Linked DNA regions of Arabidopsis thaliana. The protein of the gene in region 2 interacts with the protein of the main gene of each other region in a biochemical or structural test. Each region holds a gene or a part of one and is shown on either strand. Other genes may lie near its edges.

Region 1 (6,932 bases), on a different chromosome or scaffold from region 2:
CTATTTGGATTGTTAATTCTGTTCCCAAGATAAGTACTTGGGTGAGACACATTAACACTTGAACCGAGTCTGCCTCGATCAGACGAAAAATCTGGATTCAAGCCAGTGTCATTAGTTGTCATGTTCTCAAAATACACTCCATTATTGGCAAGACTCTGTGTGTATTGAAGCTGTACCGCTTCCTGACCTTGGCTAAAATTCCTAGATTCTTCATCCTTGGGGGAAACTTCACCAAGTACCATATTCTGGTCCAGGGTCTCTGATCCAGTAGAATGACTAATTCTGTCAAAGACACTTCTCCCAGATTTTGGTTTCTTGGCATCTTCGGCTGCTTCGGCGACAGCTTTCATAACAGTAGCCATGGGATTCACAACCCTAGCAACAGATCGAATTTTCCGAGCTGGATCAGGGTCAGATGAGTTTTGAGTAGATGTGGACACCACTGAACGAAGACGTTTTAATGAGGATTCAGTCGAACTATTTGCCGGCCTTGATATAGCTAGAGCATCTCGCACAGCAAACTGAAGCAGCCGGCGAGAGACATCAGGTTTAGCTTCCCTCTATCAAACAAGTCAAAGAAAACAAAATCAGAGAACCATAACCAGTATCCATACATTGGCTTTACAGCAGGACAAATACTGGAACAAGGCAACCTTATAACACAAAGATAAGAGTAATACGGACGTCTGACTTGTTAGTCTCATACAAAGCAGAACGCAAAGATGCCCTCTGACCAAAACTTTACACTGAGAATGTCTTCACAATATCCCATCCAATAAACTATTTTAGCATTTTTTTCAATTTTCCAATCCAAGTATTACGTGGTGATTGCTATTCAACAGAAATTAACAAAATAACAGACCTGTTCATTCCGTGAGTCGTCAGTTCTAGACCTTTTCCTCTGAGATTGAGCCTGCGGAGATGGAGACCTTTTATTATGTCGGTGTTTATGATCTTTCTTCTCGTAGTTATGAATTTTGTGAACCTCAGAGCTCAGAAGAGGAGGGATCTCAGAGACATTAGTCGGCTGGCTTCTCCATTGTCTACCACGACGTGCACCATTTGATTTATCAGATCGTCCCTTATCATATTCAGAATCCAGAGGAACAAGTGCTTTATCCTCATGACTGCTTATCAATGAGCTTTTTATGGTAGTTCCCTCCACATTAGAACTAAAGTACTCATCTACACTTTCAGCCAGATGATCCCACAACCTGCATATATCCTCCTAGTGAATATGAATTTCTAAAAAAGCAATAAACTTTGTTACACAAAGATAAGAAATATATAAATACCAGGCCACAAAAGAGTCGCTATCATCTCCAAGAAATATCTTCAATTCATTATTTGCTTCCTCTTTTCTTCTCCCATTTCTAAGCAAGACGATCACATATTCCTGCAAGCAAAAGACTTTGTTGTCATTTGAATTCTAAAGAGACTTCTTAGCACCACAATAAGAACAACTAAAGTTCAATTCCAAAACTCAGCAATTCTAGCTACAAGGAACACGAATAATAAACCCCAAAAGCGGATATTCCAATTTTCTGAAAAAGATGGAGAATCGATAAAATCGTACCACAAGAATGTCATCCGTGTAATCGCCCATATACTCCTTGAGTTTATCCTTGACCATCTCTTTCAACTTAGCAACTCCTTCCACACTGAAATCACCGTTAAAGGTCCGATCATCGACTAGATCGGCGCTTCCCATCTTCACTGAAAATTCCTTTACGAGATTATTATCAAAGACCTTAACTTGTTGCCACCGCAATGAGAGAGCCCAAGGAATCAACAAATTGGAATATATATATACACGCCACTAAAACCCTAACCTATGCACGATTCAATTCGAGAACGGATAGAATTAAGGAGCTTCAAGGTGGTGGTACTAGGGTTTGGGTTTCTGTCGGAGAAATCCAGAAAGCAGCAACCCAGACGATTGAAATCCTGATTAATGTCTAAGGGACGGAACAAATTAGATATGAAAAGCCTCTCTGAATTTCTTTTAATTATAAACGGTGCGTTTTGTGTTTCAATTTAAAACAACACATTTATATTTTCACTATTGGGTTGGGCCTAATTAGGTGCTCCAACTTTTAGTTTTTTTTTCTGACTTTTTTTTTTTCCGTCAGTTTTTTTTTTCTGACTAGAGTTATAAATAATCATAGTTGCATGAAAGTACAGTATTTTGTTGCAATTTTTAGATGACAATTGAAAATTGTCCCAATGAACTTACTTTTTTACACATTTTATTAAGTAGATATAACTATAGTCTGGCTACAATGATAGTTGCATGAAAGAACAGTATTTTGTTGGACTTTTAAGATATATGCAAGATATTTTTGTATGCGTTGAAAATAATTCACATAAAAAACTCGTAGAATGAGTAAGCTCATGTTAATATTATTAAAAGAAAACAAAAGTCTAATGTATAGTTTAATATGTTATGCTTTAAAATATACAAATCTATAAAAATAATGGAACACAAGAAGATGATAACCCATACAAACTCAAACACGTTATTGGCTTTGCTATTTTATACGCCAAGCAAACTTGTCTGATAGAAATTGGCTTTGTGAGTTGTGACGCACAATGGACTAGTAGTATCGTGATAAGTACATCTACCACACGAAACGAAACGAAACCAGAAAGACATGTTCCTAAATTACCAAACAACCCCTTCGTCTCTTACATACACCATTTCTCGATGATCAAGAAGCAAATTCATGAATCCGTAAGCCACACAATAATAATATTAATAATCATTCACTAATATATAAATTAAAAGATGAAAAAAAAACGTAAAAAAAAAAATTGAGGTTCAGATTTTGATTTGAGGAGAGGAATAATCTCTCTGATCTTCTTTTACAACACATCACCAAATCAAATCCATGTCTCTCCGACCAATCTCTCTTCCGATCGGAGCTTTTGAACCACCACAAGTTTTTCAACGGTTGAGATCGAATTTTTAATTTTTTAAACTTTGACCATTTTCGCAGCCTTGACCACCGGATTTTCTCTAGCGATCGCCTCACGACCAGCGGTTTTGTAGTCGTAGCTACAATCATGACGATCGGAGTAACGGTGCTCTGAGCAGAAAAGCTCACCGCATCGGCACCTGAATCCGGTCAACCCAACTTTCTTCCGACAACCAGAACATCGGTTTACGATCTGTTGATCTCTCTTCTTCACCGCATCGATCTCTCTTGGACGAATCACGACTTTAGCTGGTGACGAACGAAGATTGACAGATCTAGCCGATCTCTTCAAGATCGAACCTGATTCAACAACACCTGCGGCCGCCGAGACGAGAGATGCGTTGAAACATTTCTGACACATGTTGTTCGTCGCAGGATTCGCTGTAACGCCGCAGTTATTGGTACATAACGTCGTTGTTGTTGTCGTCAAGGTTTCGAGAACTTTGAACTCGGTCTCTTCCTTCTCCGTTCTCTGAGCCATCGTCTTATTGAATCTCCCTGCTCCTCCGGCGAGTTTACGGATCGATTATGAGGAGAGAGAGATAGAGAGGTAGAGAGAGGTAAGAATGGAATATGGGCCTCATAGAGAGACGCGTTTCCATCTCTCTTATCATCTCTCCTTCCACCATCCCCACTTTCTCGTCTTCTGGTGGATTTACGTTAATACCCTCATCGCTTTTTTGGAATTACCAGAGAGGATTAAATATGCATTTCAATGATTCTAGAATGGCTTATGACGCCATACAGCGGACAACAACATGTTTCTCTTTCTCACATTTTTGCTTTTTTGGGTGTATTTTCTGATTTTTCTTTGAGTATACTCTAATTTATTAGTATCATGACTTTTATAAACTGAGATATCAAAGAAGGGTGAGGAAAATCGCTGGAATATGGGCCAACTTGTTTATTTATGTTTCTCTCCCAACAAAAAAATCACCAAAGAAAAGTAATACCATAATCATATATATATCTAGAGGTGTTATTGTGTTAACTAGTTTCGAACACCTGTATGTTTATGTTTGGTTCGACTTCGGACATGTTAGATTTTTATTTTTTACTTTAGGGAAAAACAAAAAGAAAGAGATTTTGGGGGTTAAAACTGTCACACAAAAAAAACGACCTGTGAGGTTGTAAAGCTACGCGTACAACATGTCAACATGCCAATTTGCAGACTTTATTTTTTTTCCATGTTTTTGCGTTAATCAGTAGTATTTTATTTGCTCTTTGGCTTGGAGGTTGAAGCTTTAATGGTCTTATTTTCCTGACCATATTCAACAAGACAACAACCCAGAAGGTGGATTGTATTTCGCGAAATGTTTCTACTTTTTTCTTATATAGATAATGGGATGATGAATTAAAATTGAAATTAATCTCTACAGCATGTAAGAAAATTCGAATATTTTAGTCATTTGATTTTGATAAGTCAAATGAACTAACCATAATTCAACTAGCAGTGGAAAACTTCAAATTTGTTCCTTCAATCAATCGGCTGATGAATCATCAGTATCATTGGACAAAACTAGGAATTGGTGATCAGGTGATACTTTTGATATTTGCATATATTTGATTTCATTCAGATTATGGAAAATGTAAATAAAAATCTATTTATTATAGTAATATTTTAATAAAATTAGTAATCTTGAAAAATGGAGAAACGTAGCTAACTATGGGAGAAAAAGCTGCCTAAAACGTCGGGTTGTTTCTGAGGTCAATGCCTAAACAGCTAAACTCGAAAACCAAATGACAACAAAAAAGCATCAAAAAAAAAAGAAAAAAAAAAAGAGAGAAAAATAAGAGAAATCGAACCCCCAAATAAGGAATTCTGACAGAGTCGCCTGCTAGATTTGTTTTCTTTCTCTCTCGTCATCTCTCTTCCTCTCTGTAATCCCAACCGGAGTTACGATTCCTTCTTATCGTAACTCCTGCTTCCGATCTCGATCCAATTTTCACTTTTGTTTTGTCCGAACGGTAAATCATTTCGCGGCTTTTTTTTTTTAAGGTAATTGATCTCGATCCTTGAAGAAAATTCGTAATTGTATATGCGCGACAAATGTGTATTGATGCATTCGTATTGGTGTATTGTTTAGGGAAGGAGGAATAAGCAAATTTTGATTTGATTCCGTTTTTTTGGGGGTGTTAGTGATCTTTTAGATGAAGTAAAGAAATTTTGATTATTGAGGGGATTATGTGAGTTATGGTATCATCGGCAACTATATTGCGGATGGTAGCACCATGTTGGAGGCGACCTTCTGTTAAAGGAGATCATTCTACTAGAGACGCTAATGGTCGATGTGATGGTCTTCTTTGGTATAAAGATTCTGGTAACCATGTTGCTGGAGAGTTCTCTATGTCTGTTATTCAAGCTAATAATCTTCTCGAAGATCATAGCAAGCTTGAGTCTGGACCTGTTAGTATGTTTGATTCTGGTCCTCAAGCTACTTTTGTTGGTGTTTATGATGGTCATGGTGGTCCTGAAGCTGCCCGTTTCGTTAATAAACACCTCTTCGACAACATCAGGAGTACGTTGTTTCCTTCTTTTTTGTTATATTTGATATGTGTGTGTTTGGGACTATCTATGTTCTAAGTTGGTGACATTTTCTGATTGCAGAGTTTACATCAGAGAATCATGGAATGTCTGCCAATGTTATAACTAAAGCGTTTTTAGCTACGGAAGAAGATTTTCTTTCTCTTGTCCGGCGGCAGTGGCAGATTAAACCACAGATTGCTTCTGTTGGAGCTTGTTGTCTGGTAGGGATCATATGTAGTGGATTGTTGTATATTGCAAACGCTGGAGATTCTCGGGTTGTGCTAGGAAGACTGGAAAAAGCGTTTAAAATTGTCAAGGCCGTTCAGTTATCGTCTGAGCATAATGCAAGTCTTGAATCTGTGAGAGAGGAGTTGCGCTCGTTGCATCCAAATGATCCTCAGATTGTGGTCTTGAAGCACAAAGTTTGGCGTGTCAAAGGTATTATACAGGTAAAAATACTTTCACGGTAATGCGAGTTGCTGACTTCTAGACTCTTTTCTTGCAAGTAGCTTGACTGTGAAAGATACAACTAAGTAAGCCCTATGCATGTATAAGAAGAGGATTTTTCGCTAGATATAACCCGTGGCTGGTTCTTGAAGGTTTCACGGTCGATTGGTGATGCATACTTAAAGAAAGCAGAATTCAACCGGGAACCATTGTTGGCAAAGTTCAGGGTCCCTGAGGTTTTCCATAAGCCCATCCTTAGAGCAGAGCCGGCAATTACAGTACACAAAATCCATCCAGAAGATCAGTTTCTTATATTTGCATCAGACGGCTTGTGGGAGCACTTGTCCAATCAAGAAGCTGTTGACATTGTGAACACATGCCCGCGCAATGTAAGATTGCCACTTGCTCTTTCTTACTCTCTCTCGTTTTATGTGCAAATAGATAGAAAGATTGATTGAGAACATGTGGGTATGCAGGGGATTGCAAGGAAGCTCATAAAAACAGCTCTAAGAGAGGCAGCAAAGAAGAGAGAGATGAGATATTCGGATCTAAAAAAGATCGATAGAGGAGTGCGGAGACATTTTCATGATGATATAACAGTCATAGTTGTGTTTCTTGATTCACATCTCGTCAGTCGCAGTACCTCACGCCGACCTCTCCTCTCCATCTCAGGTGGTGGTGATTTAGCTGGACCTTCTACTTGACTCTACTCTCACCACATCTATATATATCTTATATATACATTATCCACTATATATAAAAACACATTGCAAAACGCAATTCAAGTTCCTTCTTTTTTTTTTTCTCTATATATAAAAATTTCCTCTTAACTCTGTTTTTTATTCATCCCAAAAAAAAATGAAGAGTTGAAATCCAATGTATAGGTCTTTTGGCAAACTGAGTTTATTATGGATAATATAAAGAGATATCACTTGTTGGAAAGATTTCTACTACTGACTACCTCCATCTACCACTTTTTG
Region 2 (9,325 bases):
GGTTAAGGCAGTTTAAAACGTTCTTGTACCATTCCCTAAATCTACGCTATGTAATGTATTATGTTCTATGATGTGATGAAATCTCTCCAACTCCTATCCCGTACGCTTTTTAATGAGTATGATAATTTCTTGTGTTATTCTATTGTTGTTATGTTACCATATCTAGGAAATATATTTCTGAAAGAAACAAGAAAAGAAATCTTTCTTTTCGTTCTAAGATGTTGAAATTACCATTCGTAATATATAAACTCCAAAAATTAAACACTTAAATCCAAAAAATAAACTCTAAATTTTAAACACGAAAATTTGGACAAAATAGGTATGTCATTAAATTCATTTTTTTTGGAAAAACAGTTCCTTAGTTATTCCCTAATGAAGATTAATTCCTTCTAATGTTATATAGTCCATTATTTGAATAAAATATAAAATTGTGCTGAGAAGATAAAGTACAATTAAAATGAGTGGACTGGTGGATAGAGAGTGATGACATGTCATGATATGGTTAGACAGAGAAGAACCAAATGGATCCCACGAGGAATAATATAATGAATAAAATCACTTACTGACACAGACCATTGAGTAGTAATTACCCCGTTTAACCCGCGTTAATTACGCTTGTGTCCCTACGCGCGTCTCAAAGATCTCTCTCTTCTCTGGAGAAAAAATAAAACAAAAGAACAGCGTTCGCCGAGAGATATACATACTCGGATCAGTCGTCAAAAGCTTTGGAATTTGATACTTTTGATTTTTCGAGAATCTTGAAAATCAGTCATGGGTTCTGGAAAAGAGCGTGACACTTTCGTCTACCTCGCTAAGCTCTCTGAGCAAGCTGAGCGTTATGAAGGTAAGGAATCTTCTTCTTCTTCTTCTCACTCGAATCAGGTCTTTTTGATAGCTTCTTGAGCTCGATTTCTGTTTGATTTTACTGGACTTTGATATCATCGAACGGGTTTCAATCGTTTGGTTTGATTGAGAGTTTACGAATGGGGAACTTCTTATCAAGGAATTAGATTCAAAAGTCTTGATTTTTAGCAGATGGGTATTGAAAAATGTGAATTCTTTTTTTCACAGAAATGGTGGAATCAATGAAAAGTGTTGCGAAATTGAATGTTGATCTGACGGTGGAAGAGAGGAACTTACTCTCTGTGGGTTACAAGAACGTGATTGGTTCAAGGAGAGCTTCGTGGAGGATCTTCTCGTCGATTGAACAAAAGGAAGCAGTGAAAGGGAATGATGTTAATGTAAAGAGGATCAAAGAGTATATGGAGAAGGTTGAGTTAGAGCTTTCTAACATATGCATTGATATTATGTCTGTCTTAGATGAGCATCTCATTCCTTCGGCTTCCGAGGGTGAATCTACTGTCTTCTTCAACAAGATGTAAGCTCTATAATGCTTCTTTACATGGTGTTTAACTTAAGGTTGTGTGTCTGAAGATTTTGTTTTGGTTTTTGTAGGAAAGGTGACTATTACCGCTATCTTGCTGAGTTCAAATCAGGGAACGAGAGGAAAGAGGCTGCTGATCAGTCTTTGAAAGCCTATGAGGTGTTCTTATAGTGATTTGTAGTGTTATTGATCACTGGACATTCTTGGTTTTTCGTTACTTTACTTTTGAGTTTTTGTTTGTTTCTTTCCTTTACAGATTGCTACTACTGCTGCTGAGGCTAAGCTCCCTCCAACACACCCTATCAGATTGGGTTTGGCTTTGAATTTCTCTGTCTTCTACTACGAGATCATGAACGCACCTGAAAGGTTTACAGATTGTTAATTATACTACTAAGATAAGAAAAAAGACTCATTGTTTTGGAGATTTGAGATTTTTTTTTCTTGCTCTTTTCTCTTCAGGGCATGTCACCTTGCTAAGCAGGCGTTCGATGAAGCTATCTCAGAGCTTGACACTCTGAACGAGGAATCCTACAAAGATAGCACCTTAATAATGCAACTCCTTAGGGACAATCTGACCTTGTGGACTTCTGACATCTCAGAAGAAGGAGGTAATGATCATCACTCTGGACCTAAGCACACTCTTTAAATATGATGTTTTGATGTCTTACACAATTGCTCTTTGGTGTTTTTCCATTCTAGGTGTATTTGTTCATTGTCATTTCTTATGTGTAGTGTTGATTTACTTGAAACCAATGAATCTATAAGACAATTTAAGCATATCCATGGACATTCTTGATGATAGATAGTTGAAATAGCATCTGGAAGACGATTGCCAGTTTTTATCAATATATATTTTCACTTGGACTTCAACTGTTAATTTTGCATTTGTGTGCAGGAGACGATGCTCATAAGACGAATGGTTCTGCCAAACCTGGTGCTGGTGGAGACGATGCAGAGGTAAGTATAAGAGATTCCTTTACTCGGGGTAAATCAAATTAAAATAAGCCGATTTTGATTCAAGATTTCTTTGCTTATGTTGCAGTGATATGATATGTGTGCACCTGGACAATATGTTTCAAGAACTGAATGTGCGGTGAATAATAGTGAAAAGTAGAGTTTCTCTGTTCCCTATATCATGATTGTCTATGTTACTTGTACTCTGGTTTAGCCCTAAATGTCTCTCTGGTTTGAATGTATTGCATGCCTGTCTCAGGACACTCTTATTTGTAATTCACTACTGTCGTCTTACTATCTATCCTTATGGATCCAATCTTGAAACTTATATTCCTTCATTTCTGAATTGCTGAGATAGAAGCTGATTGGATTCGGTACTCTCTGATTCATATTCTGTCACTGATTGAATCAACAACACCAAATACAGTAAACTCTGTTCAGTTTCTTTCACTGGTGTGGTGAATAATCTAGCATACACAAGCCAAGCGTAAATAGATAATGAAGCTTGCATTTCTTGAATCATTGCGAACATTTACCCATACGTAATATGCCAAAGCAAGCAGAGCCAAACTCCAAAAAATAAATAAAGAAGAATTAGAATCGAATAAGAAGAAAGAATGAATAGTTTGTTGAATTTGACAGAAGAGCTCTTTCCCATCTTTCACATAGAATGCTTTCTGAGTCTTTTAAATAGGCTATTCGGATCGAATCATAGGGAAGCAGATAATGATGATAGGGCTTTTTCAATCATAAGAGGAAATGCTTTATAGAGTCCTCTAGAAACTGATGGCTAGGACAAACCATCTCCTTCACTTTATCTCCATTCTTGTACATCTTAAATGTCGGAACTTTCCTGATACTCTCTGCTTTCGCCAACGCCATGCTCTCCTCCACATCCACCTAATAACATTTCATTTTCTCAGTTAACACATTGAGAAACATAGGTTATACATATAAGTTTAGAAGAAAATGTGATATAAAAAGCATATTTGGAATGTGTTCTTGTTCTTACCATAAAGAAATGTACTAATGGATACCGAAGACATAAAGTGTTGATGAATGGAGAAATTTCTTCGCATTGTCGGTTTGATGATGATTTGAAATGAAATACAGAGACACCTGAAGAGAAATGTTTCCAACTTGAGCAAGACACGCAAAATCTCAACCTTTTGAGACAAATTGAAGTTTCTCATTAGACTTACCGGGAAGTGCTACGGATTTCTTGAACTTATCCAAAGTCGAAACCGCTTCAACTTCATTATTGAAACCTAGGCTTTTAGATTCTTGGCTTCTGTTCATTAGCACTGTTTTCGCTCTCTCTAGAGACTCTGCAACTTCACTGTCTCCTGGAAGTTCTCTTCTCAAGAACTCATAATCTTTAACCGCATCCTCCCACCTACCAAGCTATATATTTCAACACACATTGTCATTCGAATACACTGCAAAATTCTGTCAATAACTGATTATAGTAAGTTCTAATCTCACCTTTCCATATGAAGCAGCCCTACGTAGAAGTGCCTTGATGTAACTAGGCTGGCTTTTGAGCGCATGGTTACAATCTTCAACAGATTTCTCCCACAAACCGAGCTTATACCAACACGCTGCTCTGTTGCAGTACAAAACCGAATTGGAGTCATCTTGCTTGAGACCGTCTCCATAAGCTACACACGCTTCCGAGAATCTCCCCGAACTAAATAGCTCATTACCACGAGTACGTGCCCGCACAACCATCTTCACATTGTTTAAAACTGATACAACCTCAGGATTGGTTTGATCAAGCATCGCAGCTCTCTCTGCCTTGACAACCGCATTCTCAAATCTGCAACAAACCTATCATATCTACTCACTCACCGGTGGAGAAACAAAAATCCAAAGAATCACAACATTTCTGAGTTTCGAAAGCTCACCTTCCTAATGCCATATCAACTTGAGCTTGGATACAGAGCACATAAGCTTCAACTACCATACCAAAGAGTTTCACCTGCGGTTGAGAATGGTAATGATGATCCAATCTTGGAATGCAAGATACACAAAAATCCGAATCCTCTATTTGCTTAAGACGCAAAAAGGCTTCTGCTTTACAAGCTACAAGCTGTCCAAACCAATAGAAAAAACCTCACTGTTAGTCAAAAATCTTTACAAGCATATCATACGACAATGATATGTAATCACCTGAGGAGACGAATCAGCGCCGTTTGCAATGGCTGCATCGGTTTCCTTAATCGCGGTTTTCCAATCTCCAATCTTTCGAGCCTCCCAGCATCGTCGGAGATGCTTCTCCAGCGTCTGTAGCCGTTGGAGATCAGCTTGATCCGGACATTGACCAGAAAAACAAATGTGACGTCTTGCATTCTCAGCTTCACCCAATCTAAAGCAACAATTCACTCCATCATTTCAAATTCTCAATCTTTAAACTAAAAACACAGCAACAAAACAAAAAGCCTCTCAAGATTACCTGAGATAGAGAGAAGCAAGTCTTTGGTGAGCTCTGGAGTAAGAAGGATCAATCCTAACAGCTTCAAGACATTCTTTAACGGCTTCTCCTAACCGCCTCAATGCCGTTAAAGCCGCGGCACGGTTGCTTCTGTAAGCTGCATTTCCCGGTGAAATCAAAATTGCTCTGTCATAAAGCGACAGAGCTTCAGAGAAACTCCCTCTCCTATACATATCATTCCCCATTCTCTTCAACTCCTCCGGGTTTTCGCCATTCTCCGCCACTCTCACCGCCTTTCCGCTGGTTCCTCCTCCTCCGCCGCTGCGTACAACGTTTCCATGTCCGTAATTACCAGTTCCTGTGCATAGAGTCTCAGTCCTACTTGAAGTCCGAGACGCCATTCCAGTTTTCAAGATCCGACCCGACGGACAAATATTTCCCGCCGGTAAAACGCCAGTATTGGGAGACACTGCCGACGTAGCACCGCTACCACCTCCTTGTGGCGAGGTGTGACTCGTTGCTGAAGTAAAGCTAGAGCCAGAGAAGATCAAAGGCGTGCCAGTAGAAGAAGATCTTCTATGACCCGGTTTAAGAATCCGGGTCGTGGTCGGCATTCCGGATCCGGGGCTAGAAAGCTCACCGGAATGACTCTTGTAAGCATCATCTAACCGTTTAGCCATCTGAGAACTCACCGACGGTTTACCAGAAGCAGAGCCAGAAGAGCCAGAGCTGCTAGTAGGAGTCGCAGCAGCGGAAGAAGAAGCAGAGCCACGTGGCATTAAGGTAGAAACAGGAGAACCTAGATCGAGTTCTCGAAAATCAGGTTTGTTGACGTCATCATCATTTCTCTGTAAATCACGAAATCGACCAGTGATTGAATCTATAGCAGGTTCCAACGAAAGTCTTCTAGAATGAGACATCGTCGTCACTTCCTCGTGAGCTGAATCTAAAATGAGACTCAGCTTCCTTTTCTTCTTCTCAGAGAAGTCAAGAGACCACCACCGAAGCTTTTAACGCCGGACAGAAACAAGTACTGTCTTCAGAGAGAAGAGAGAGAAAGAAGAGGAAAAAGAAAGACAGATCTCGTGATAAATAGAAAAGGAAGACGCAAAGAATTAAGATGAAGAAAAAAAAAAGGATTAACCTTGATTAATAAAGATTACGGATTTATCTCCCTGAAGATTATGACATTGATCTTCTTCTTCATCTTCTGTTTATCTCTCTTCGCTCCCGTGTCTTCACGGCTACTTGTCGTTGAAGAAAATAATACGGTGATTTATCGAATTTATTATTAATTAATAAACTCTATAGTCTAAAATAGTTGACTTTTTAATTTTGAGCACAGTGTTCGAATATAAACTAATTAGACTTTTTCTAACATTTAATGAATTTAAGTTTTCTTAATAAATTAAAACATTTAACCCCTTACTAACTAACTACATCTTTTTTTTTTGGTGCACACTAACTAAGTACTAAAGTACATCTACTTTCAAATTGTTGCGTTGTGTTACGGAAACGAATTATGATATAGTACATTGTATCTGTTAATTTGTATGAATGTTAATTAGTATTTAAAATTACTAGCTTCTGACGTCAAGGGCACGAAGATTCAAGCACGTTCACTCATGTTCCCAAAATGTTACTCTATCGAAATGTATAACATCATTTATTAATACAGACTATGCAATAGCATAAGCAAGGCAAGCTAGCTATATGTACTAGTATCATATTAGGATTTTTTAAAAGTAAACACTAAACCTTCGTAGGATATTCAATGCGCCACGACATGTTACTATTTTATCATTATTACTAGTATTTTTTTGTTGCAATATGTTTCATTTATCAAACCCACTTTTAGGGTCGTTGTACAGAAGTCTCGCATTAAATTGGCCGACTCAATTTTTATTAAATTGAATAATTGTAATGGTATTTTTTAGACATTAACATTTTAACTAGTGTTTAGTTAGTTGTAAAAAAAAATCTGGACAAATTACTAAGAAATAAGAAGTTATATTCTAGAAAGTAAATCTAATGATTATTTCTACAGATACAATAGATTTTTATTATAAAAAAAAATTAGTTAGAAGTATGTCAACAAATCACAGACTTTTGGAGTTTGGTTAAACTATTTGACCAAGAAAAATGAGAAAAAATGCCACGTAAGGATTTCAACCCTCGTACTCAGAGACAGCAAGATAGAGGGTAAAATCGTCATTCGATGTAAGATGTATTTATCAAGCCAGCCAAACTTTTGTTTAAGCCACCATATATATTGTACTATTATAAGCATATAAAGTAATCTTTTATTGCAATAGCCAATTTAAATGTAAATAACAAATGTGTGTAATGCAACAAAAATAAAGAAAATTACAAATGAAAGTTCAATATCTATTGCAGAGCTGGCATTTTTAAAATCTTCATTTTGGTTTTCGGGTGTCCTTTGAAAAGGCTGTCATAGTTCTCTTTTTTTCTTTTCTGGGGATTACTGTTTAATTCATTCGATATAGAGTAGTTAATTTGCTGAAACTCATAATTAATTACTTTGTATTAACTATTTACTGTTTCTAGTAGATCATGGCCAGTCCGTACCGTTCAGACCTACGGAACCACTAATTACATTGAACCAAGCACCATGCATGCCTTCATTTTATTTTATTTTTCTCTAGCTAGGTCATGCCTCGCACCCTCAAATTATTTTCCATATATAGTCAATTAATTTTCTCTTGACTTTTTCTTAAATAAATTATTTCGCTATATAAAAATATTTAAAACAATAATAGGATAATTAAGAACATAACGATAATAAATAGTAAATACTAATTAAAGAAAAAAAAGGATAAAAAAATAGAAGGGTGTTGCGGTAATTATGGGGATAATTGCAAAACGGTGATCATGCCAGCTGGTTATTGACTTCTCTGCTGTGTCTGCCAGCTAAGCACACAGTTTCCGTTAACGGCGTTTAGTTTTTCAATAACGGATTATTCTGTTAACACCGACGGATTATTCGAAAACTGACCTCGAGCCCGCCAACGCCAAGCATGAGATGGGTGACGAATGACGATAGTGACTCACTATTTTCACTTAAGCATACATGATAAGTAGCAATAAAAATTACATTCGTAAAATAATTCTAATATGACTGACTATATGCGTTTTTTTTACCATAGACAAAATAAATTATGGGTTTGTTGAATGGCAGAATACTGAATACGTATAAGTGAAATGTGCATTTGAAGATAAGATTGGCTTTCAGAATTATATATTTATGTCTCACATTTTTATTAATACTTCTTTATTATCTTAATTCATAAACGACATAAATAAAAAAAATCAGTCTAAAACGACACTTGCTTTAAAATGAAAGGAATATTATTTCTCCACGGATTTAACTCAAAATTTAATAATTTGGACACCATTTGCATTAATAGCGAATGAACACACCAATCATACAATTAGACTGATTATTCAAACGCATGTCACATTGTTTGTTCCGCCGGAGACATACAAAACATAATACAATGCGCAGGCTGTAATGTTTGAGCATGAATGACCCCAATCAAAATAGACAAAAGAGGAAACGTGTGAAAATTATAAAAATAAAGTACAATTAGTTGCTAATAATGTGTTTTACATCTTTTTTGTTGACTCTCATTAAATCACTGTCGGGCCATCTTTTTAATCACGAGATTCGAGTTTCATATCAAACAAAAGAAAGTATCCAATCTTTTTTACAATTTCACCCGTCGGCAAACATACTTTACTTATTACTAGTACTTATCTAATCCATTACAGTAATTTAATTTAAACGATGCTTGATTTGATTCAAGGTGTGCCGAGAGGAAAAAATATTTGTGTAAATAAAACTTTGTAACTGCTTAATTCTATTAAGACAATTCCTTAGTCAAAATACTACACGAATTATTTATATATGTACTGTTTTCTAACTAACGATATTTTTATTGCCTAATACATGCATTCGTGTTCGTGCTATAATCTTTCTTATCTATGTGTATCTCCATGATTCTTGATTATATATACAAAAACGTAAGAAAATTATCTGGTTTTCTTTATTATTCGATTAATCAGTTTACTAAAAGCTAATCCACGCTTGTCTTAACCACTATGATTCTTAGTTAAGGGTATCCTATGTTTCATCAATATTATTTTAATTTTTATTTACAAATTATTAAGATCATAATGTCAGTCCAAGCAAAGAATATATGTAGATCGCATTACCGTCCAACTCGCATTTTATTTTTGTCAACCCGAAATTTTTTTAAGTTAACATTCGTTTACTCTAATTTTCTAAAGTAAACAAGTACTTTGCTTTAGAGTGAAATAGTTCATCTAAATTCTAAAACTGGTACGTGACCAAAAACGTTGGTGGTAATACTTTTGGTCTAGTCTTTGGCCAATGGATGTATGATGATGGCTTTCAGATTATATATAGAAGCCAAGTTATAAGAACTGTAGACTCATGTAGTTTGAGAAAAGAAATATCTTTAAAATTAGAAAAACAGCTGCATGTTTGGATAATTGATCATATCCGTATG
Region 3 (8,302 bases), on a different chromosome or scaffold from region 2:
TTCCATGTTAAATGAAACCCGTCTTCCTTTGCTCGGATGTTCATCCTCTACACCCAACAACCTGCTTCTACCACCATCTCTTCCTCCCAATAACCTGAATTCTCCTTCTGTTTCTCGTCTAATAGCACTCTCTTTGATTTCTGATGAAATGTTGGAAGATTTCAAGCCATTTGCAAAGCTATGACCACAGTTTTCTTCCTGTATCTCTTGAACATGGAGATGGTTACTAGAGCTCCTCCTATTCCGCGATGGAGTCGAGTTTGTCCCGTGCTCTGTAACTGACATAACGGCAGCATCAAACGAGAGGACGTCGTTACCATCATACAATGGACTGCTGTAACTCTTCGGTATTGGTTTAGGCGACTGTCGTTGTTTCTGTTTTCTCTTGTTGGTTAACCAAATTGGTGGCAGTGGAGATGCAATCTTATTATGCTGATCAGAACCAAGAGGACTTTGACCCAAATCAATCCAAAACGAATTGTCGGATGACTCATCTTCACTAAAAACCGGACTTTTCATGAGTTCTCCAACCGAAACACTTTCTGTTTCTTCAAAAATTGTGGTGCTAGTAGTTCCATCTCTATCAGAAGATATGTTATCTTCTAGGAGCTCTGTTTCAAACACATCCCTCACTTGTGCTGAAGTGTATGCACCTGAGAAAGCTGGCATCTGAGTTCCTGGACGATGAGCTTCTTTGGTTTTATCGTCATTGTGATCTTCAAAACCAACCAATCCGTCAAGACCATCTACTGAATCACTGAGATATAACGGATATTCAGGCGTGATCTTCACTATACCTGATCCAGTTTTCCCTGATTGACTCTGAAGGCTTCCCATAACTGATTTTTTAATCAACAGGCAACCAAATCCTGTCGGGTCATGACCAAATACACGGTAGAACGAGGTAATGATAAACTCAGGCCGGAACAATGACAAACCAAGCGAATCCATATCTTTGGGACCTAAAGAACCAGCATCAAGCAACACATGCCAATGGTTCTGCTGAGCTAAAGCCATCCACTGGTAAGAATACTTAGTACCCGTAACACGAGACTGAGCAGGAAACACAAACAACCCAACCGCGGAATCCTTCTTCTTCCTCTTCTTATAAGACAACCGTTTCTTCAAATCAGTCGAACAAAGCTTCAAAGTAGGCCATTTAAACCAAGCATTATAAGCCTTTGCGCCTTTCTCCCTCGCTGTCTGCGCCATCCAATTCACAGACTGGCTCTCGTGATCAAACATTGTCAAAAGCCGCTTATTCGACTGAAAAGGATAAGATTCCGCTAACAATCTAAAAGCAGAGCCTCTACTAACTGTGAAAACAAGACCATACTCATTCTCAGGGATGTTCAAATAGTCCATAATCCTAGTTTTAATATCATGTTCCACAGTTCCACTCTCAGCTCCACCGTAAAGCGCATGGTTACTCAAATTGGCAGTTATCTCAGAGAGACTAAACGTACAAGTATCCCAATAGTGCAGAGTCTGAACATAAGAGAAGAGACCAAATCCACAGTAATCAAGACATACCTTAGAAGCTGATGATGATAAGTGACTATACTCATCAGATCTTAACTGATCAATCTTCTCAGAAGCTTGATACTTTGGGTACATGCTCAGAAACTTGGTCAAAGCTTCACGGAGCTCAGGAATTGAGTCTTCTGATTCGATAATACGTTCAGCTGCTAAAGCAGTGGCGCGTAGAAACTCACGCTGCGCGTGAAGTCTAGCTAAGGATCTGGAACGACCCAAGCTTCCATCTCCATTATCTTGGTCAATGTCTTGGGATTTGAAGAGTGAGCCATTCTCAGAAGCTTCTTCTAAAGCTTCCCTGAGCTTATCTTCATACAATTTCCGAATCAGTGCAGCTTTTTTCTTGACATTGAGAGACGAATCAGACCCATCTCTTCTTCTCCTGCTGCTCTTACTCTTGTCTAAGATCAGAGAAGCACAGTGATGAATTTGCTTCCACAGAGAGAAATGCATTTCAAAAAAAACAAAAGATTTAGGAGATTCGGCGAAAAGGGTTTGTTTTTAAGCTCATTATAAAACCCTAGAAGTAACGAACTAGGGAAGAACTTGAAGCAGATCAAAGAAGAGAGAGCTCAAAAATGGAAACTTTGAGAGAAAACAAAAAAAAAGTTTAGAGCTTTAGGCAAGAGAGTGAAGAAACGAAATTGACGGAAGAAGAAGGAGAAGAAAGTAAAAGGAGCAGAAATTCAACAAACAAAAGTACGAGAAAGAAGAAAAACACACAAGGAAGAAGGAATCCAAGAAGAGTCAAAAGGAGCTCAAACCCTAGGACCAGTCTAGAGTCTCTCTCAGGAGAGAAAGGAAAAATAAAATAAATTAATAAAGAAATAAAGCAAAAGGGAAAAAAAAAAACAGATCCCAAAATTTTGCATAGAAATTAAGAAACCACTCTCTTAAGTTATGTATAAGAGCAATCAATTTAATCAATTTTATTAAAGGAAGTGTCTTTGAATAAAAAAGCAAAGGTGACCCCTTTCACCACCAATCTCTCATTTCATTTACTACTACAATGGCTTCTCTCTCTTCTTCTTTAGACACTGTTGAAGAAAAAGGCATTGACTTTAACAACAATATCCAGAAAGAAGCAAAGTGGTGGTTCTTCATGAGCTAATACAATAATGTATGGTAATGGTGGTTATCAATTATTCAATTCCTCTAATCATATTCTATTATATGGCTAAGGTTTTTAAGTCAAATAACACAGAAGAAAAAAAACTTGGAAATAAGTCAAATAACATAAAAAGACATATTAAGGGGGAATATTAACATAGCATATACTATTTGACATTTATTTTATTTTATTCTGAATACAAGACAAAAAAAAAATGGCAGAGGAAAACACAATGTTTGTCTTCTTTTATCGTCCCCCGAAAGAAACGCATTAACTAGTCAACTCTTGCTATTGCGGAATTTTTAAGGATATATCAAAGACCATTTCTCTTTAACTCTTCTCCAAAGTCCAACAAATGATGAGAAGAAAAAAATGATGTCCACAGGAAGATGATAATTCAAAACTTTTCACTAATTTAATAATTTACTATACAATTGTATATTTATTAATATTTTATGTTTACTATATGAATAAAGTAAAAATAATACTAAATCAGACAGTTGGTTGAAACAGACGAAATATATATGCCTACATAAATGTAATGTTGGGTTGTGGGGATACTTTTGCCTACTTTGGACTCCATAGTCCATAGTCCATATACAAAACACAATAACATTATTATTTTGGTAGCATTAACAAAAAATATATATATAAATAACAATTTTGCAGCATTAAGGAAACAATATGGCCAACTTAAAAAAAAAAAAAAAAAAAAAAAAAAAAAAAAAAAAAAACAGGTTGGTAGTTGGTACACACCATTAGACTCAATGACCAACCACAACATTGGTGGGGATAGTCTTGACTTAAAAAAAAAAGAAATGCAGACTAACTACGATAGAGATCTTTATTAATGCAGTAGTATAGTAAGTTCATCGATAGAGGGTATTGTTTAATATGCATGGAACACAATGTGTTATTGGTAAAATAAAATGCTGTCTGTCTTTTCTTATAGAAGAAACTTAAAATCGAATAATAGTTTTAGTTTAGTTACTCAAGTATTTGTATGGTTTTAAATTCTTTGTCCTTTTCAATGAGTCAAAGTATGTGTAATGCTTTCATTCTCCTTTTTTGTGTTTATTGGACGACAAACTAGAATTATTATTCTGGTGTATTAAAGGTACTCATATGTCTCAACGAATAATTTACTTTTAAGATTTTAAATATACATATTTTCATATAACTTGAGAATTACTCGAGTCATATCATTGTGGTACAGTGGTACCGTACGAGTAGTAAAGGTATAGCTCCTAAAATTTCAAATTTGAATTGTGGTTTAAGTATAATCGAATACAATGCAAATTGCAAAGTTGTATTAGTTTGAAGTTAAGCATTAGAGATTCCAGAATATAGTTAAAAGTGTAAAGAGGGATTTTAAATTAAATGACGGAAACAAAAAGTACTTTAGTTACTTTGTACCTGAAGGTTGATGTAGTCATGTAACACAAATTTTGCATACATTAAAGTGTAAAACTAATTCAAAGAAATTGACTAATTTCATCCACAAATTTCTTTCTCGATTAGGCTTTTTGGATATTGAAAAGATAAAACCAAATAATCTTGAGGTGTAGAAAGATTGACTCGATTTTCAGATCGGTTTGGTTTTGGTTTAGGCAAATTCTTTAACCGTTCAACTGGAATCCATTACATCAGATCACCAACAGCAACAAAACACAAAATTTGAAAAGCCGTCAAGTTCTTACATGATCCATGCCTACTCCGATAGAAAAATGGAAAAGAAAAAAAAGATCTTCCATTTGTTTAGCCTTAGAGTACGTACATGCAGCAAAAGCATAGTTTCTCTTCTGAAACTTCTTCTCTCACTCAAGCTTGAATCTTACGACGCTGTCTCAGTCTTCCACCAATACTATTTGGGTTTGGTTCAGCAGACATCTTTCGCTTGCTTCTTGTTTCTCGGTTCTCTTTGTTTGCAGAGTTAGCCATCCTCTCAGTTTCACTGCACTGAGCCTCAAGATCGATGATCACAGGAGTTGCTGGATCCACCTCTTTCACATCTAATGGCTTGAGATCACCATCAGTCACTGAAGTTTGGTTGTTCCCAGACGACAAGAAGCATAATGACTTTCTAGCTGAATCCGGATTCTTGTTTGAGCCATCATCATCATCGAGATTTTCGTCAATTTGATTGTCCTGAATCCCATCAGTTATGAGAAGGAGATGATCTCCTTCTGAAGCTTGACTATCTGCAGGAGCATCAGTTTCATCATCCTCACTTGTTTCTGACTGTTGGTTGGTTTGAATCAGATAATGTGCAACAGACTTATACCCGAGTTTATGTATCTGAGAACAAAAGAAATTCAAAGGGAAAGCCATTAACTTTTGAATCTATCCAAGGACTCAAAATCAGAATTTTCACCATGGATCATACTAATCGAAATAGCTACCTTCCTGTAAGCTGCACCAGTTGGGAGCCACCCTTTTTTTGTACGACAGAAACTGCAGTTGCAGATATCGCGACAGACTGGACAAATCCAGTCCGGATTTTCCAGAGCTTCAAGAACATGTTCTCCATATCTGTTCAATCACCAAAACATAACCTAAAACATTCAGTTCCAATCCTCATTTTGCTGAGCAAAGCAAGCTACTCAATTCCCAGTTGATTCTCACAAAAGGAATTACTCAAAAACACAGAAACAAAGAAGGTTGGAGGCTAATGTACCTCATGTATAAACAATCTCCACAGAATTGACCTCGAACAGAATGGTTACACTGGCTGCATTGGGTATGATAACCTAGCGTCTTCTGCCTGTAAAATCCACAGTAACCATTAAACACATTAGCCTCAATCCTAACCGAATCAAACTACATCTTCAGAGATAAAGCCAAGTGTACAAACCTGCACTGGTGGCAACACTTTCCTCTAACAGGGTCATAAATCCGTTTCCCATTTTTGTCACAACCATCAACAAAAAGCTCCCAAGTTCGTTCTGTGTTACCTAACAGTTTCTCATGCTCCTCAGTGTAAATCTCTGGCCTTACGCCTTCTCCTACCCACAAAACAATCTCTTCTTTAGACACTTTACCCTTCTTCAGTTCAGGTTCCTCTGCGTAGGAAACTGGTGTAGCGTTCTTCAATCTAAAGACCACAACAGAGAAGGCAATAAAAATCATTACTTTCTATTAAAAATCCTAGCTTCCTGTTAAACCCTTGATTTTGAACAGAATCCAAAGAACGAAACGAGAACCACAGAGATTGAATACGAAGAGATTACCTCGAGGATCTCCGAGAAACTGGCGGCTCCTGCTTCAATCTGATTATAAAACAGCGAAATGATTTCTCTAAAAACCCTAGATTTCTCTAAAACCCCTAATTTTGGAAGATTGAAGCAATGTGAACAAAATCGAGAGAAGTCAGTGACTGAAAACGAAGAGATTACCTTGAGGATCGTCTAGAGGAGACGGAAAGCTGAATAGGAGATGTTTCTCGACCCGGATTGGCATTAGAGTTACCGTAACGCCTTTTGGCGGGTCGGATCTCGGATTTGAGTTTGAGAGAGAGATCCATGATTCCGAGATTCTTCATCCTCTGAAGATTCTCCTTGATCCTGTCTTCTCTGCATTTCTCGTAGATCGAGACGTTTGAGTTTCCTCCTCCGACTGTTGGATTAGGGTTTGTGACGGGAATCGAACATTTCGCTCTCGTTCTCACCACAGGCATTGTGAGAGATTGATGAACTGATTTTGGATTCAAAGTTCCAATCTTTCCCTCTTTCTCTCTTTGGATCTCTGGATAAGAAGAAGAAATGAAAGATTTTTTTTTAACTTTTTAAGTGAGTGAAGCGGAACAGCAACGGTCTGGTTTTTTTACTCTTTTTAAAATTCAAAACATTTTTCACCTTTTTAGGTAAATGTGCTTAATTTGCCAACTAATGAAAACGTTGATTGGTTTGTCAAATGGAAATCATATTTATTATCTATCATACATCTGTAAATTTATTTTTCTTAAAGGGCCTTTAGGCTTTAATAACGGCCCATAAAAAATCCCAAATTGTACTACGAAGAAGAATAAGCCGCCATTCTTTATCTTTCCATTCCTTCCTGGAGATTACGCATTAATATATTTAGATCTTAGGTCTTATTAGCTTCTTTATTCGCACTTTTTTTTTTCCTCTACTCGAAGCTTAACGATCGTAACAATCATGGCGACGGCTTCAGGTACCATGATTCCTTCAATTTCTTCTTCTAATACTTTAACCTAATTCTCGATTTCTCTGTTAATTCCCGTTGATGATTAAGAATCTCGCTTCTGATATCTTCTTCTTTCTTTAAATCTATATATTAGTAAATTAGGGTTTTTACTAGTTTTGCTATTGGCTAGATTCATTTTGGCTAAATTCTGGCAAAATTGATTTTATTTTTAATGTTTGAATGTTGTTCTGATATATGTTTTCTATGGGATCTGCAGTTGCTTTTAAGTCTAGGGAAGATCACAGGAAGAAATTAGAATTAGAGGAAGCTCGTAAAGCTGGTCTCGCTCCTGCTGAGGTAGACGAAGATGGCAAAGAAATCAATCCTCACATACCTGAGTATATGTCAAAAGCTCCATGGTATCTCAAGTCTGAACAGCCGGTATATGCGAAAATTCTTCTTTCTCTTGCTTCTCTGCATTGTCTTGGTTGAGAACATTCACACTCATACTCTGTGATTTTTTTTTGTACAGAGTTTGAAGCATCAAAAAAATTGGAAAATTGAACCCGAACCCAAAAAGATATGGTATGATAGAGGTAAAAAGATCTATCAAGCTGAACAATACCGCAAGGGAGCGTGTATAAACTGTGGTGCAATGACTCACAGTTCTAAAGCATGTATGGATAGACCTCGTAAGATTGGAGCTAAATACACAAACATGAACATTGCTGCTGATGAGAAAATCGAGAGTTTTGAACTTGACTATGATGGGAAGAGGGACAGATGGAACGGTTATGATACTTCAACCTACCGTCATGTGGTAGATCGTTATGATGCTAAAGAGGAGGCACGAAAGAAGTATCTCAAGGAGCAGCAACTTAAGAAACTAGAGGAGAAGAACAATAATGAAAACGGTGATGATGCAACCAGTGATGGGGAGGAAGACCTTGACGACTTGAGGGTCGATGAAGCTAAGGTTGATGAGAGTAGGCAAATGGATTTTGCAAAGGTTGAGAAACGTGTTCGAACAACTGGTGGTGGTAGCACAGGAACTGTTAGGTATGGACTACTCTTCATCAAACATGATAACATAAGTTTAAATTGGTGTTTCTACTTGATGCACTAATGGTGTTACCTTTTCTTAATTTCAGGAATCTGCGTATCAGAGAAGACACTGCTAAATACCTGTTGAATCTTGATGTAAACTCAGCTCATTATGACCCTAAAACTCGGTCCATGCGTGAAGATCCACTTCCAGATGCAGATCCAAATGAAAAATTCTATTTGGTTAGTTTGTGATCATCGTGAATCATGTAGTTGTATCTTATATTTTGATGATATGAGAATACTAACTTTTTTTTTCTTCTTATCATCTATCCAGGGAGATAATCAATATAGAAACAGTGGCCAAGCTCTGGAGTTCAAACAGATAAACATCCATTCATGTGAAGCATTTGACAAGGGACATGACATGCATATGCAAGCGGCTCCATCCCAAGCTGAATTGCT
Region 4 (7,897 bases), 5.1 Mb from region 2:
TATTTTTTTTGTTTTTCATAGTACGAAGGAGAAATATAAACTTTGGCCTTACATCGTTACTTAAAGGAGTTGTGATATACCAAGGACAAACAGAGTTCGTCCTTATGTTGTCGCTCGCCCATTCGCAAGCTAAGTTTCTAGCCAGCTGATTCATGGCTCCTAAAACGAGTTAATATATGTGTAAGCATCATAACCCATGGGAACATATTGTGTTAAGGATGTACTTATATACGGTACCTTTGGTTGCTCCATAGATGGATCCAACATTGACATGCACGACTCCAGCAGCAGAGGATATGAGCACGATGCTCCCTGAGCCAGAGGCTTTTAACAATGGGTGGGCAAGCTGTGAGAGATGGAAAGCTGACTCGAGATTTGTAGCCATTACAAAAGAGAAATCTTCTGCTGTATACTCTGTGGTCGGCTTGAATATTGACGTTCCCACATTGTTGACCTACATATGTATAGATCCACAACAAAAAACACAACATAATTGGGTTCTTGTGGATCCCAATACCGAGGAGGACGAAGCTTATATATGTATACTTACGAGGATGTTGAGTTTTCCTTGGTAGAGAGAGGAAACAGTTTCCATGAGTTTCACTCGTTGGTCACGAGAAGAGACGTCGCAGACAGAAGTGGTGACCTGAAACCCTTTTGCTTGCCATTCACGTAAGCGTTCTTGAAGCTGAGTTTCGTCTCTGGCACACGTGTGGACTTTTGCTCCCAACATGGCTAGTTCCTCCACCACAGCTTCCCTATTCATGACACACACAAACAGAGTTAGTTCTTCCATAACTAAACATGACAATACAATAAAAGAGCATAGAAAATGGGAGTCAAGATTCACAATGGGGACTGACCCGATGCCTTTAGAGCCACCAGTGACAAGAGCGGTCATGCCTCCAAGACTCCATCTTGAGTTCTCTCCCAAGCCCCCTTCCTTTGCCATTCCTTGTTAAATATCAACCTACGACGATTCTTTTCTTCAACCAAGATCACAGATCTTATATAGAATTGATCAAGACTAGTTGTGATAGTTTTGAACTTTGAAACCTCGCTCAATTCAAAATTCCACATTATGATAATGACTGCTCGACCACACATATCCGTGAGAGGGGTAGACGTAGTACGAAAATACTACTTTTCCTTTTGACAAGTCTTGTATAGTAAAGAAAGTCTTTATGAATTAATAATGAAGACCCCTTAGTTAATAGAGCACCACATATTGGTCTACCATTTACGTGTCATGAGCGTAGTTAAAATTTATATAATTAAAACTAATTTATATTAGCATAAAACTTTAGATCTACATGTATCAATTTAACCACTTAAACCCCTGGTAAATTGTGTTAAGCCACAAACGGTTGTGGGAATTTCTATGCATACACAACCATTGACAAAAAACCAATAATTAAGTGGCCATCGGTCTCACAGGCCACACAGCCCTTTGTCTATCACATCTGGAGATAAACGAATAATGTTCTCCATAATAGCCAAAGGATCCCTCCAACAACCATCTTTAAGAATATTGATCGAGAGATCCGGAACACCATCTCTGGTAGACGATACAAGAACAGATGGAGGAAGCTGATGCTTCTTTGGATTCGATAGCTCGGATTCTTTCCATCTCTTTTTAAATGCATTGTAATCTTGTTTCTTTTTCTTTTTCTTTTTTTTTTTTTTTTTTTTTTTTTTCTAAGATTGCTCTACTTTTAGGTAATATTTTGTAATATATACCTTCTATTTCATTTCATAATGATATTACAAGTTAGTAAAAAAAATTGACAACAAACATTTCATTTCATGCATGACCATTGTTGTCAATTTGTGTGGCCAGTAAAAAAAACAAACAAACAAAACATATGTCAATTAAAGATGTGACTTTTTCGAATATACATATATTCTAGAAGATGCATTTTCAAAAACCTTTCTTAATTTTTTTATTATTTGTTAACTAATATGAACAAAAATCAATATAACTCCAACAATACTCTATATTTTGTATTCAAACTCAATAACAACCATAAACGTCGTATCAGCTACTAAACCCAGCAAAAATATGGATTATTATCTAGTTATACTTATATATAGGATTAAGGTAGATGGCATTTTACTAGCCACAATGTCTAAATATTTGATGGAGACATTAAGCAGCCATAAGAAACAACAGAACAACTAAACGTGCTAGTCATTAGCTCTCTTGATAAGTGACATTGAAGAGTTTGATCATAATTTCCAACCGCGTTAGTGAGGGTCCATCCTTTAACACTAATTCCATCAAAACATCAATCATGGCAGTAACATCCATATATAATCAAGTGCATGTATGGTGTACCAGCTTCATTATGCTGTCAACTGGATTTTTAGAATGACCGTAACACATCATATATGTATTAGAGAGAAAATAATATCAAATGCATGGAAATTTAAATAAATATGGCTGACATGTTATTGCAAATGTAAGTTATTGCAAACGAATTGACATCTACTATCTCCACCAGTTACAAGAGAATTTTTACCATGAAAGACTCTTTATCTTTGATCAATTTTTACTTTTACCTGTGACTAGCAATGACCAGAGATGCCACATGACATATATAGAGTCAAAGTAGATCAAACAAGATAAATACGTTTCTATGTGTAGTAAAGAATTGATGAACTAAGAAAAAATAGTAATGGTTCTGAGTTATTTTGATATATTTGTTGAACTTCAAAAAGAAAAAAAAATCAGGATACACAAATTAAAACAGAGTATTAACATTATTTAAATACAAGATCGAAATAGAACATTTTCATGTATGAGAGATAGATTGGGAGAATATCCATAATGGAATTGTGATATTGTATATGATTTTGTTCATATACTCATAGTGTGAGAGATTTGATTTAAGAGAACACTGAGAATTCATGACAAACAAACAGAACGCGACATGACCATTCTCAAGCCTGTGGCTGATAGGTGAAGCCATTAACAGTTAGACCTCCATCAATACAAATGGTTTGACCATTTGACCAGTAATATATGAAGCTGCAGGGAGACACAAGAAGACCACTAGTGATGAAACTTCATTCGGCTCTCCAACGCGACGAAGTGAAGTTCTACTCAACAATGCCTCCTTGAAACCAATGTCAAAAAAAAAAAAAAATTGGTATTTGGGTGGTAGAGTTTAAACTGTAGTGGAAATGCTATGCAGTCGTATAAACATTTATATGAATCCGGTATGGGCACACCACAGCATTTATTAATTAATAGTATGTCATAAAATGGTATATCAATGTATCATGTAGTTGGTCACAAAAGGTTTTCTCGTTGCCATCCATTGAATTTTGGGTTTATCTCTCTGTGATTGCTTTATTTTGAGTCTCTATTATATATATGCTAGTTTTGAAATTCACTTTTGTTATTTTGGGTTCAACTATGAGGTCCCAACTTTTCTAAGTCTACCGGTTTACAACAAAACAGAGCATAAAAACAGAGTCTTCTTTTCACTTAGTAAGTTAGTAGTAAACACAAGATGGAATAGAACATTTTCATGTATGAGAGATACATTGTAAGTATATCCATAATGTAATTATGATATATTTATTTTTTTATTCATATACTCATAGTTTGAAATATTTTATTTGAGAGAACACTGAAAATTCTAGACAAACAAAAAGAACGAGACATGACCATACTCAAACCTCTGGCTGATAGGAGAAGCCATTAACGGTGAGACCTCCATCAACACAAATAGTCTGACCAGTAATATAAGAAGCTGCAGGTAGACACAAGAAGGCCACTAGTGATGCAACTTCATTTGGCTCTCCAACACGACCAAGTGGAGTCCTACTCAACAATGCCTTCTTGAAACTGACGTCCTCAAGATACTTGCAGAAACACAATTAAGAGAGGGTTAGATTAATTCACATAAAATCGTTGTTACATTCACATAAAAAAAGAAAAGAAAAAGTTGTTAGTTTATTACAGATTGAGACAGAGGAGTATTGATGACATTAGGCGCAACAGCGTTGGCTCTTATGCCGTCTTTTGCCCATTCACATGCCAAATTTTTAGCTAGCTGAATCAAAGCTCCTGGATAATAAATCAACAAAACATAGAACATAAAAGATTTATTAGTCAGTCTTGCAATGAACACTATCCATCTACTAAAAACTCTGTCTCTGGCTACCTTTTGTTAGACCATAAATGGATCCAGCGTCAAAAGATATAACCCCTGCAATAGAGGAAACAAAGATGATGCTTCCATAGCCTGAAGCCTTTAGGAGAGGATGTGAAAGCTGGCTAAAATGGTAAGCAGCTTCCACGTTTGATGATATATGAAAAGCGAAATCGTCTTCGGTATATTCTGTTGTTGGCTTTGAGCGGATTACGCCCACATTGCTTACCTATGCATGTTGAAAAAATTGGTCTTTAAAAGATTTCCCCCACGAATATGATTAACTTGATAGTATCTTTAAATTAATTTACTTACAAGAATGTTGAGTTTGCCATCGAACTGCGAGGAGACGGTTTGCATCAGTTCTTCTCTCTCGGGACGAGAGGCTACATCACAAACTGAGCCACTTACTTGAAAACCTTTCTTTTCCCATTCGCTTAAACTTTGATTGAGCTTAGCTTCAGAGATGTCACATACATGGATTCTAGCTCCAAAACCAGCCAACTCTTCTACTATGGCATAACTAAAACATTCCAGAAACATAAACTACTTCAAATCTTAATGTTCAAACAGATTCAGACCAATGGGTAAAATAGATGACATAGAGAGAACAGAGAAGAAAGACGAACCCGATTCCACTGGCTCCACCGGTCACAAGAGCAGTCATACCTTTGAGACTCCATCTTTTGTCCATTTTGCTTGTAAGTTACTTTCAATGACCAGAAATGCTACATTATATATACACACCTAGTGAGTATTAGATAAGTGTCAATTTTCTTACCATAAAAATAAAAGATAAGGGTCAATTAATGAGTATGTTTGTATGTGTGGTGGATATATTAGCCATAATAAATAACATGACAAAATATACAAGTCAGTGGTCAAGAGCAAATATGACTTTTAATAGTCAAAATCTTGATCTAAACTTACTCATTTTTGTTTCTTTCTTTTCCATTAATTTCATTCAAAAGATGACAACTGAAACGACAAGTCAGTTAGACTGGTGAACAAAATTTTTGTAAAACATTCAACGTGTTAGTTAGGTAACAAGAAGGCAAATGTTTTTTTTTTCATAATTTGGGTAGTTATCTTCAACTAAGATTTCCAAATTTTTTTTCTAATTAGGTTTTTACAAAATATCTAAAGTTTACCCATTGTATTACTTTAAAATACCGTTTGTTCATTTCTATTGACAGAGTTTTTGCTGAATATTTGACACATTTGGGAAGATGTAATTATACTCTTTTAATTTCTAATTATTATAGTATCTTGTAATGACTTGTTCTTTCCCTCCTTTCGCTTTTTAGTTAAGAAGTAAATGCCATTTAAGTATTTCAAGCATAGATACAATTGAAATTGCTAATGGCAAGGGAAGAAGAAAATAACTGTGTCTACTCCATCTCAATGATATCAATCCTCATAGTATTATGATCCACGTAATTATATTCGTTATGAGAAGCGTTGTCATGGAGAATGCATGCATAATACGGAACTGGTAAATAGATATTCCATTATTGAAAAATTGTGTCTACTCCACAACTCACATATCTATGGATTTAGATTATGGAGATACTGACCATATGACCATACTCCACAACACACAAGACAAGACAAGACATGGCTCAAGCCTATGGCTGATATGAGAAGCCATTAACAGTGAGACCTCCATCAACACAAATGGTCTGACCAGTAATATATGAAGCAGCAGGTAGACACAGAAAAGCCACAAGTGAGGCAACCTCTCTTGGTTCTCCAGCGCGACCAAGTGGAGTTCTACTCGACAAAATCTCGTTAAAACCAGCGTCTTCGAGAAACTGAATGTTTACAAGATTGTAAAAAACAAGAATAAGAGTGGGTGATGATGTTAATTTTAAAAGGAAAAAAAAGAAAAAAAAGAGAGGGTGTATTGGTTACAGGTTTAGCCAGAGCAGTGGTGATAAAATTAGGCGCAACCGCGTTGGCTCGAATGCCGTCTTTTGCCCATTCACACGCCAAATTTCGTGCTAGCTGATTCAAAGCTCCTGAACATATACACAAACAAGAAAAAATAATACTATGACTATGAGAGACATCTATTAGGATTCCCAAAGAAAGATAGACCAATTTAGAAATAGAAACGAATGATACTAGGGCAATCAATTAGCCGTTAGAATCAGCTTTCGGAGACATAATGCGATATTTATGAACCATCTAAATAAAAATAAAAAGATTTATTATCCATAAATAACATGCATAGTTATAAATTAGTTTTGTTTTTGTATGTTATTGAATATGAATGCCCTATATTTGACCTTCTGAATTATATATTTCTGAAACCAAAAATGTTAGCATAGCACACTAAAATAAGATTTCACGCACAAAAAAAAAAAAAAAACAATTCTTCTCAAATATCATTTGAAATTATTAAATGGGATTGAAAATTATCCTAATCAAATATATAATATACATAATGAAACATATATAAATCCACAATACTATTTGGTCATTCTTGCAATGAACTTCCTCTAGTATTAAACTTTTCACTATGGTTACCTTTCGTTAGACCATAAATGGATGCAGCATCAAATGATACGATCCCTGCAGCAGAGGAAATAAAAGTAATAATTCCGTTGCCTGAAGCCTTTAGGAGTGGATGTGAAAGTTGGCTTAGATGATAAGCAGATTCCAAGTTTGTTGAAATAAGGAACGAAAAATCTTCTGCCTCATATTCTATTGTTGGCTTTGTGCGAATTGTGCCAACATTGTTCACCTATATTGAACAGAAAAGAGTATATATTCATGTCATTTCTAAATAGCTTAAAGATATGCTTAGTTTCTTTAAATTAAGATTAACTTACAAGAATGTTAAGCTTGCCATCAAATATTGTGGTGACAGTTTGCATAAGTGTTTCTCTTTCGAGACGATTGGATGCATCGCAGACTGAACCACTCACTTGAAACCCTTTCTTCTCCCATTCGGATAAACTTTGATTGAGCAGAGTTTTCGATATGTCACACACATGGATTTTGGCCCCAAAACCGGCGAGTTCTTCTACTATAGCATGACTAAACATTCGATAAACATAATAAAACTCCTTAAAACTTTAACAATTTAGAATGAATTTTAGAAACAGAACAATGGGTAAAAGAGTTGATATAGTGAGAATCTAGACGAACCCGATTCCGCTGGCTCCACCGGTCACAAGAGCAGTCAAACCTTGGAGACTCCACCTTTTATCCATAGTCCTTGTATGTCAATTTTCACTGACCAGAAATGCTACACATTATATATATATATCCAATGAATGAGTATTAGATAAGTGTCAATTTTTAGCCATAATAAAGAGATGACAAAAATATACTTAGTGGTCAAGAGCAAATATTAATTTTAATAGTCAAAATCTTGACCAAAACTTACCATTTTGTATTTTTTTCATTAACTTCACTCGCAAATTAAAAGACTACTGAAAGACTACTGTTCACGTGTTTAGGTAGTAAGAATTTGAAGCGTTAATAATAATACTTAATTGAGACAAGAGGGATGTAGACAAATTAAAGTAAGAAGCTTATGTAGGATGAGAGACAATGAGATTAATCTATTTTAAGTGTGGAAGATTATCTCTAATATTATTCGAAGAAAAGTACAATGAAAAAACGATCCATCAATTTTGAAATTAAAGTATTTACTTGAATTGTCATTCAAAGACAAATATAAAATGCTCATTAAGCGTGATAGAGTTAACTACTCTAACCAA

What was found.
Region 1: the proteins of TTL3 (region 2) and SAP5 form a complex in vitro, tested with the Arabidopsis thaliana proteins (one study listed by BioGRID).
Region 3: the proteins of TTL3 (region 2) and AT4G37110 form a complex in vitro, tested with the Arabidopsis thaliana proteins (one study listed by BioGRID).
Region 4: the proteins of TTL3 (region 2) and AT2G29340 form a complex in vitro, tested with the Arabidopsis thaliana proteins (one study listed by BioGRID).

Annotation. Positions count from the first base shown.
Region 1 is NC_003074.8:4,009,234-4,016,165, reverse strand, and holds SAP5 (A20/AN1-like zinc finger family protein), read right to left. Parts: upstream 3,559-6,932; 5' UTR 3,460-3,558; coding exon 2,977-3,459; 3' UTR 2,583-2,976; downstream 1-2,582. Other genes in the region: AT3G12640 (RNA binding (RRM/RBD/RNP motifs) family protein), read right to left, coding at 1-560, 863-1,214, 1,296-1,396, 1,577-1,711; AT3G12620 (Protein phosphatase 2C family protein), read left to right, coding at 5,173-5,497, 5,587-5,954, 6,105-6,341, 6,429-6,656. UniProt on the Arabidopsis thaliana protein: May be involved in environmental stress response.
Region 2 is NC_003071.7:17,725,222-17,734,546, reverse strand, and holds TTL3 (tetratricopetide-repeat thioredoxin-like 3), read right to left. Parts: upstream 6,069-9,325; 5' UTR 5,693-6,068; coding exon 4,794-5,692; intron 4,707-4,793; coding exon 4,511-4,706; intron 4,431-4,510; coding exon 4,246-4,430; intron 4,158-4,245; coding exon 3,824-4,157; intron 3,743-3,823; coding exon 3,541-3,742; intron 3,458-3,540; coding exon 3,351-3,457; intron 3,239-3,350; coding exon 3,086-3,238; 3' UTR 2,711-3,085; downstream 1-2,710. Other genes in the region: PPC2 (phosphoenolpyruvate carboxylase 2), read left to right, coding at 1-6; GRF9 (general regulatory factor 9), read left to right, coding at 772-844, 1,072-1,378, 1,456-1,543, 1,641-1,750, 1,844-1,992, 2,280-2,383. UniProt on the Arabidopsis thaliana protein: Involved in osmotic and salt stress tolerance. May play a role in the control of meristematic cell size during osmotic stress. May function as an adapter protein for BRL2 and may be required for signaling affecting leaf vascular tissue pattern formation.
Region 3 is NC_003075.7:17,479,875-17,488,176, forward strand, and holds AT4G37110 (Zinc-finger domain of monoamine-oxidase A repressor R1), read right to left. Parts: upstream 6,527-8,302; 5' UTR 6,324-6,526; coding exon 6,043-6,323; exon of another isoform or gene 5,917-6,042; coding exon 5,878-5,916; exon of another isoform or gene 5,777-5,877; coding exon of another isoform or gene 5,742-5,776; coding exon 5,502-5,741; intron 5,412-5,501; coding exon 5,325-5,411; intron 5,180-5,324; coding exon 5,050-5,179; intron 4,946-5,049; coding exon 4,469-4,945; 3' UTR 4,156-4,468; downstream 1-4,155. Other genes in the region: AT4G37100 (Pyridoxal phosphate (PLP)-dependent transferases superfamily protein), read right to left, coding at 1-1,989; SMP2 (Pre-mRNA splicing Prp18-interacting factor), read left to right, coding at 6,805-6,820, 7,071-7,234, 7,326-7,852, 7,945-8,080, 8,175-8,302.
Region 4 is NC_003071.7:12,594,091-12,601,987, reverse strand, and holds AT2G29340 (NAD-dependent epimerase/dehydratase family protein), read right to left. Parts: upstream 4,874-7,897; 5' UTR 4,858-4,873; coding exon 4,793-4,857; intron 4,687-4,792; coding exon 4,479-4,686; intron 4,393-4,478; coding exon 4,176-4,392; intron 4,079-4,175; coding exon 3,972-4,078; coding exon of another isoform or gene 3,960-3,971; exon of another isoform or gene 3,874-3,959; coding exon 3,688-3,873; coding exon of another isoform or gene 3,682-3,687; exon of another isoform or gene 3,120-3,681; coding exon 2,979-3,119; 3' UTR 2,692-2,978; downstream 1-2,691. Other genes in the region: SAG13 (senescence-associated gene 13), read right to left, coding at 53-159, 238-454, 551-758, 864-952; TRI (tropinone reductase), read right to left, coding at 5,792-5,977, 6,078-6,184, 6,696-6,912, 7,001-7,208, 7,320-7,384.